2 linked regions of the Drosophila melanogaster genome follow. The protein of the gene in region 2 purifies or fractionates together with the protein of the main gene of each other region. This does not show direct contact. Each region holds a gene or a part of one and is shown on either strand. Other genes may lie near its edges. The genes, in order: CG1092 and CaBP1.

The links.
Region 1: the proteins of CaBP1 (region 2) and CG1092 purify together in Drosophila melanogaster (affinity purification with mass spectrometry, with the first as the bait; one large-scale study listed by BioGRID). This does not show direct contact.

What each region holds. Positions count from the first base shown.
Region 1 is NT_033777.3:4,264,848-4,268,979, reverse strand, and holds CG1092 (uncharacterized protein), read right to left. Parts: upstream 2,211-4,132; 5' UTR 2,007-2,210; coding exon 1,775-2,006; intron 1,720-1,774; coding exon 767-1,719; 3' UTR 664-766; downstream 1-663.
Region 2 is NT_033779.5:16,354,208-16,358,777, forward strand, and holds CaBP1 (calcium-binding protein 1), read right to left. Parts: upstream 2,529-4,570; 5' UTR 2,346-2,528; coding exon 2,333-2,345; intron 2,264-2,332; coding exon 975-2,263; 3' UTR 679-974; downstream 1-678. UniProt on the Drosophila melanogaster protein: Binds to both apoptotic cells and phagocytes and promotes Drpr-dependent phagocytosis of apoptotic cells.

The sequences.
Region 1 (4,132 bases), on a different chromosome or scaffold from region 2:
CTCTGGTACTATAAGGTTGAGATTAAGCATACAGATTCTTAAGACATAGAGGCAGCGCAAGTTTGTTGACCCATATTTTGAAAAATGTTTTGATATGTTTTTATAATTTTATTAGACTTGTAAATTTCTATCGATTTGCCAAAAAAATTTGCCACGCCCACTCTAACGCCCTAAAACCGCCCAAAACTGCCACGCCCACACTATTGCAAAATGTTTACATTTTTTTCATAATTTTATAAGTCTTGTAATATTCTATCGGTTAGCCAAACAATTTTTTTCACGTCCACTCTAACGACCTTAAGCTTCCAAACCGGTCACGCCCACACTTTTAAGCCATTTTTAATTTGTTTTTCATTTTATTCCCCATCTATCGATATCCCAGAAAAATTATGAAATTTCGCGTTCGCATTCGCACTAGCTGAGTAACGGGTATCTGATAGTCGTGCAACTCGACTTAAGCATTCTCTCTTGTTTTACATTTCAGTTTTTGGCCACAAGCCGCCCGTATGCATGACCCACGCTTTCAAAATTTTTTATTATATATTTCTTTTTTTTATTTTTTTCCCAACTTCAATCGATATGGAAGAAATTTCTCGTTTGCTCTTTCACTAGCTGAGTAACGGGTATCTGATATTTGGGTATCTTAACTTCGCTTGTTTTTTAGTGAAAGCCATTTTTTTCAAATGGTTTGTACACCTTTATGAGAATGTTATTGCTTTTATTGTATCTCGTAAACTAAATATATGGTAGAAATGGTCTTGATCTTTTAAACACAAGTCATAGGGTTTTCCGTTTGGAATCCACAAGAGTATATGTCGTAAAAGTCCTTGTTCTGTTTAAGGCCCAGATAGAAGACATGCTCGGCCAGATCCTTCCCAAACTCACAGAAGTTCTGAGCGTAAAGAGTAAAAAATATACGCTTGTTGTCAAGATGGTACTTTTGAAGGACGCCATTTTCCTGATCGTATATCCCACTGTTCTGTGGAGGCGAGTTGATCCAGGCGCTGTAGTCTATCCAGGCCGCTCGGAAGCTCTTTAAGTAGATCACAGCCAGCATTCTGGCCTCATCCAGAACATTAACGAACTGCGGCAGCCTTAAACACTCCACATCTTCGCGAAACCGCGTGAAATCACGCTGACGCTCCAGACTATTAAAAAGCATCATGTACAAATGGACCGTAAACGTGGAGTAGAAGTAGGACATGGGCTTGTTGCGGCTCTGAAAGAGGTACATGCTCCAATCCAGCATGGTGCGCTGAACCCCCAATTCGTATGTTGAATTCAGTTTTCTGTGCTGCTCCAGATTGCGAACGTTGTGTTCGTAGCTCTCCCGGTAGATCCGCAGGTCCTTGTACTCCCGGCTCAGGTCTCTAGCATGGAAGTAGACTCGCGGCGTTTTAAATTTCTGCTTATACGTGGCCAGCTTGCTGAGAATGGGATTCGACTCTCTGTCCTTCTGAAACCTGACGACGAAGCGGTCCAAAATGCCCAGAAAGTCATCCAGCTCGTGGGATTCTCCATTGAGCATGTTTTTTGTAACTATATACCCGAAAAGTGGCTTGAAATACTCATAGGTCTCACGATAGCAGTCTTCCAGCGCGTGGTGCACGTTGCAGGAGATGAAGAAGTCCAGCGTCTTCTGCTTAGCCTCGAATGGCTCTGGATCGTTCTGCAGCTCGGTCAGCAACTGCATAAGATCGCCCATTTGCGGCATGTGTCCTTGGATAGGGTATATGCATTAGGCACTCCCCCAACACAGGCTTTCCTCACTTACCCATGATCGAAAAGAGGGGTCGATTGCGGCTACAGACGTAGTCGAAATAGCTCTCGCAGGCATACTTTTCGGTGTTGATGGAGCCCTGTATACGAACCGACAATTTTTCAAGTTCCCTTATCCGCAGCTCCGACAGGTGCCGCACGTATCCCACTTGGCAATGCCCTGAACCAGTCAACATCAACAGAATAAGCGCTACGGATGCGCCGATTGCAAGACTTGAGGTTGTCATCGCAGAGCTCAAGTCACTGGCAACCCAGCTTTTGCGCCAGCCTATCGGACCCCTCAACGGATGTCGGATTTCGTTGCACAGTAGTTCGAGAGAGAGTCACTTTTCAAATACGTCTATCACTGGGCAACGAAACTATTTAACTTCAATTGAAATGTAAGCACAAAACTCCGTATCCCCTGGTATTAAATAACTAAAATAACTTATTGAATGTTTCAATTTTTAGTAAAAACTTTTTTATTACTTTTGACAATATTTAAAAAGATTTTCTGTCCAAGTGGACAATAATTAAATGATTGTGGGCTGACATTGACATAATTTATTTTTATCATAATGAACGTTTGAAAAGCATAGATAGTATTGAAAAATGCCCTATTAGTGCAACTCAGTATATGTTTTTATGGTGTGTTTTCAACATTTTCAACTTATGCTTCTTCAACGTGTTTAACCAAAAATTTATCCGGACTTTAGAAGAACGTTTTGTTGCAGACAGTTACAAACAGTTCTCCAAAATCACAATAATCAATCTTTACCGTTTTACCTTTTTTATTTTATCGCGCACATATAAACGGTCTAAAAACCAATTAAACGCTCACATTCCTATTTTATCATTTTTACTTGAAAATGCAAAAACACCCGAAAGTTCTCGGGTTGTTTGTTGTTTTTATATTGTTGAATTATTAGAACGGATTTATATATGATCTTATTACACTCGCACCACAGTGCATTGCTCAATTCGAGGTCTTATTTTAATTCAGTGAGTGAGTTCCTATGCTTAATTATATTTCCGAAGCGATAAGAATGTCAAGTCCTATCAGGAAAATTTCTCTCCCACTGTTTTTACGATCGCGCTATTCTGGAATATGGGCTTTGCATCGTTTCACAAGTATTACGAGTTATATCTGACTAAGCGTAGACAACAGTGTGCAGTTGCTTATGAAAGGAATGATTTAAATATACATATACATACATAATATACATATATTATATTATATTTGTTGGTTTATAAAAAAAAAGTATTTTTATTGATCAAAAACTTAAGCGAATGTCGGAGACAAATTCACGTCTTACACAATTGAAGTATGAATAAAATCTAAATCTAATTTGCAAAGCGAACGCTTAGCAAACCCTTGGCTGAGCTTATTTACTTCTTCATATTGAGCGTACATAGGCTCTCATTTATGTTTACGTTAATTAGGCGCTCTCTTGAGTGGATTGCGCATGGATATAGATCAGCCGAGTTTGAGCTACGTGGAAAGTTTTGACCCTTAAAGCTGTGTTAGCAGTTTTGACCCTCTGGTGGGAGTCGCGAATGCGGCTGCGGATGTTTATGTCTGTTGGATTGGGTGCCTTCTTGAGTGGATCACTCATGGGTACTGATCAGCCGAGAACTTGAGCTGCGTAAGCGGTTTTGACCCTTTGGTGGGAATAACTGATTCGGCAGCGGATGTTAATGTTTACATTAGGGTAGGCTGGATTTGTTATTGTCACCAGAATTTGGGTTCTTATTGGATACATGATTTTATGACTTATATCCTAAGGCATTCTATGATTTTGTGTATGGCTGTTCCTATGTGGTTATGTATGTGTGTGTGTAAGTATATGTGGTCTTATACTATGGCACATATGCTACTTCCCCATCCTTTAAATTTAGCCTGTCCTCAGGCGGATATTCTAGGATACAATACAGGATTAGTATCAAATACTGTATTTATATTTTCTGTTGTTGTGTTATTTTGTTGTTCTATTTGTTGTGGATTCTCTTTTTTATATTTAACAATTAGTTTTTTGGGAATGCCTTTATATTTATAAATAAAATATAGTATAAGTGTAAGTATTATAATAGCAAGTATAGTTAATGTAATAATTTGTAATGTGTTGTATGTATTAGTGTGTTCTTTAATTATTTCTTTAGCATTTAGATATGATAATGGTTCTAATTTTGTTACATTGTTATTGATATAGACCGTTTGTGTGTAGTCTAGTGTTGTGCTTGTAATTAATATGTTTTCTATTTGAACAGAACAATTAAAAGCTTTTATTATATTGTCTCCTTCTATTATAATTTCTCTATTAATTATACAGTTTTGATTTAATACAATTTTTGATAATTTCCAAGTTAAAATTAT
Region 2 (4,570 bases):
AGACGAACTCTTCGTGATGCCTCGAATTTTGCACTACATTTTAAAACGCCGATTCCCGTCCCTTTATATACACAGGTTGTACTTAAATCGAAACCAAGTACTTAATAATTGTACCATGCCAATCATAGTTTAAGCGCCAATCTGCCGCCACGAATACATTTAAGAAATCTTCAGTTTGTGCATTTAGACCAGCATGAGTATCCTTCTATATATTGTGTCAAAAAAAACGTTTTTAGACGTTATATAGCATTAAGTCTATCAAAGTTTATATACAAATCTTTTTGGACATTTTTATGTGAGTTTTACATAAAATAAATGGTTTTACCTCACCCAACGGTAAAATTCTCACACATTTTATTGGAATTTGGGGTGGTAATGAACTAATTCTTCTGTATTCTATATTAAATTCATTGATTTACAATAACTTTATATTTATACAGCGCTACGTTGGAATACATAAAAAACTAATATGTATATCACTTGTTGATTCTTGGATGTGATGGTGCTATTGAGTTTTTGAAGAAAACAAGCATATTTGATGATTCATTTCAAAGAAATAACTGAAGAATGATCTATTCATAAGCCAAACTCATTTCCATAAGGAAGAAAATGTAAACTGAATTTTACGGATATTAAGAATTCTTTTCTTTGTATAAAATTCAACTTATGCATTTTTTTAAACTCGCTAAGCACGAAACGCGCTTTTCCGAACCCGATTAACACTTGCCCAGAATTTACACGTTTTGTTGCACAGTTTATTCATTTTGTGGTACATAGTTTATATGATCGTTGGTTTCGATTCGTTTAGATCTATGTGAGGATTGTAGAAAAACGCTAAAAGATAATTAAGAGTTATTTATATTTAGATACGATGGCTGACTAATGAATATCATTCAGAATGCAAGTGTTTGTTAGTTTAATAAGTGGAAATTTGAGCTTGGGCCGCACAGTCTTGATTTCCGATCCTCACAGCCTTACAGCTCGTCCTTATCCAGATCGATGTCGCTCAGATCGATGTCCTCCTCGGTGGGCAGTTGGCCATCTTTGCCGTCCCAAGGATCCACGGACACAATCGCCGGCTTTTTGGCTCCGCGAACAGGCGCCGTGTGGCCACGTCCGTAGGAGATGTCGCGCAGGAACTCGTTGATGCCGTCCTTGGAGAAGGAGCCCTTGAGCACGGAGAATTTCATCTTCTTGAAGTTGACCACAGCCATGGCCGGATAGCCGAATCCGCCCACTTCGAGCGACTCTTCCAGGGCCAACTGCTGGCCACCTTCTGCCCAGGCCCAGCCCCATTGCTTCTGCTTGAACTTCTCGCCCAGGGTGCGCAATGTGTCGAGGAACTTGTTGCGGCACTTGGCATCGCAGTCGAGAATGTGTGGCAGAACGGACACGACGCACAATGGCTTTCCTTCGCAGGCAGTTTCAAAAGTCGATTCATTGATAATCTCGATGAGTTCGGGTGCTGGCACATTGGCCACATGCTTGTCACTGGCCCAGGATACAATATCCGAGGCAGTGCGTCCGCCATCATACTCCTGGGCATCACTGGCTCGCTTGGAGCCCGCAGGGAAGAACTTAATGGTAGGATACCCACGCACATTGTATTCGGCGGCCTTGCTCTGATGCGCGGTGGCATCCAGGGCGCCCAACTTAACCTTGCCCTTCAATTCTTTGGCGGCCTTGGCCCATTCGGGTGCCAGGTTCTTGCAGTGACCACACCAGGGGGCGAAGAATTCCACCAGCCATATGTCGTCGGAGTTCAGGACCAGTTTGTCAAAGTTGTCCTCGGTGAGTTCGATGACATCATCGCCGGACGAGCTGCCGGAACCGCCGGAAGACGATCCACCGCCGCCGCCCAGGACACCCTGCACCTTCTTCTTGACCTCCGCCAGAGCGGCTTCAGCGATGGCCTTAGCGGTTCGCTGACCATTGTAGTCCGTGGGCGACTTCTTGTTGGCGCCAAAGATCTTGATGGTGGGAAAGCCACGTACACCGAACTGGCCACTCAGCGTGCTGTCCGCATCGGCATTCACGGAGCCCACTTTCACGACTCCCTTCAATGCCTTGGCCAGCTTCTTGTACTCGGGCACCAGGCTCTGACAATGGCCGCACCATGGAGCATAGAACTCCACGACCCAGATGGCGTCGTCTTTCAGCACCTCCCGGTCGAAATTCGAGGGCGTCAGCTCCACAACGCCATCGCTGGGCGAATAGAAGGCACTAACGCTGCCCACGACAAATGCCAGCAACAAAATGCTCGCTGCGGGGGCGTATTGAAAATGTATTATTAACATAATTTGTCTATTTCGTGCATGGGCCGGAAACTTACCCAGTTGCCTCATCTTTCTTTTTTGAGTTTGCGAAACCGCTTACGTGTCTATCTCTTGCGAGTTTATCTCAACAAATTCTTAATCAACGCGTCTTGTCGATAGGCTCTTTTAAACTAAACTATGTGTAGAGATGCGGCTTATATTTTGCTAAAAAAAAAGAGTACACGTCACTGCGAGTGCGGCGTACTCTCGATAGTTCGATAGGCGTTTCAATACTTTGTGACTATCGATGTAGAAGCCGGCAAATGCGGATACTGCTGATAATGTGAAATAAGCCAAATCTTATATACTTTTACAAAAACAAAGGCGTGATTTTATTTGTAATTCTAATTATATATACGTACAAATAACGAAAGGAAAATGGTCCGAGAAGTTTATTGCCACTATCGATATATTTCGGTATTTTAGACTGGTTCTAAAAATCCTTCAGAGCTGCCAGATAAGTTAAAAATGAGCTTATTGACAACACTGTGTGATTTGGCGGCTATTTCAAGGTTGATTTCTTAACACATTCATTAAAACCAATGCAAAAAACTTGCAAATTTCAGTGATGATACTTTTGACGTAGAATGACAAAGTTCTACTTCTACTACCCCAATGTACTGCTTTCTTTATCTCTAAGGTAGATTAAATTATCTATTTATTTCTCTCACTGTAAAAGTTAACTGCATTATTTTTAGTAAGCAACAGGCAACAATATTAAGAATATTGAAAAAACAAAGGTACATATATAAAACAATTTATTGGTTAAATGATTTTATATAATATAACATTTTCTCTCTTTCATTTCAGCCTACTATCCTTAATTGTATTTACCTTGTTAATTCCCCATTTTAATTGTTTCCTTTCCCAACGTTTTGTTTGATTTGTGTTTTCTGGAAGCTTTGGCTTAATTTACTCGCACATTGTTCTGGCTCTCCAGCTTGTTCTCCCACTGCCCTCCCCACCCACCAGCCAACATTCGAATGACCCCTGACCCTCGCCATTTTCGTCTACGTTCGTTGCGTGCGCATATGAGATAAAATATGTGGTCAATTTTACTTAATAGCGACTTAGTAGTAGTGTTGCCAAGATTTATGTGACGTTCATATTGGCACAGAAAGACACAGAGTCAGACAATTTCCTTTTCTGCCATTCAAGGGTTAATTGGAGGGAGCTGTTCAGTCGGGGGGACTGGATTTTCCCTTTATTTTGCGTGTTATTTTTATGATTATTGAATTTTAATGCATATCGAATGCACACATAAAGATTCAATGACACAATGTCATAACTTCTCGGGCGGCTACAAAACCGGTGGGTGTGGCCAACCCTTTTTTCCAAAAGTAAAGTTTATGCCACATTTGGCCTGCACTTTTTGCTTTCAGCATAAAAAGGCGTAATATTTGTATTAACTTCGGTAAAAGAGAGTCTGGCCCCAGATAAACTTACAGCACTGAAAAAAATAATATCTAATAAAACATAAATATTAGACACATAAAAAAGAAACCACCACATTACTTTATTACAATATCTGCGCAATAAGTTTAATATTAAATTTAAAGATGAATCTAGCTTAATATTATTATTTCTAGGTTTATCACTAAGTTAGAATTCGTTTCAGTGCTCGTACTTCGCCACACTGGCTTATCAAACAAACAATTTGAATGCCCAGCGGAGCGATCTTTTTATTGATACGCTACGGTGAGGGTGCGGCATAAATATTAACCCCTTGTTGCCATTGCTCCTGTTGTTGTGTCTGCACTTCTGACTTGCCTGACGCCCTGTCAAAACACCTTTCCCGAAGGATGTGCGTCTGTCAGTGACTTCAATCTTGCAGATGTGGGGCGTTTATGAGTGTGCTCACTTGCAAAAATAACTTTCTTTTTGCTACTTTTATAAAAAAATATATATGTATTAAATAAAAAATAAAAAAATGAAAAATGAGTGTATAAAGCAAAAAAAAAAATTTTTTTTATATATAAGGTATAAAGTATATTATAAAAATGTATATATAACATAAAGAGCAATGAAATATAAATACTAGTGAGCTAAATGGAATTTCTATTAATATGTAGATGTAGCTTGATTTTTAAGGCGCATTTTAGATAAGGAAAATATTTCATATCAGCTTTTTGTTCACATATATGTACATATGTACACACAATATACAGTCTCCTGGCCTTTTTTTCGAGTGTGGTCCTGAACCGTGAGATTCCTTTTTATTTTATCATCGAATGCCATTTTGCAACGTGTCATAT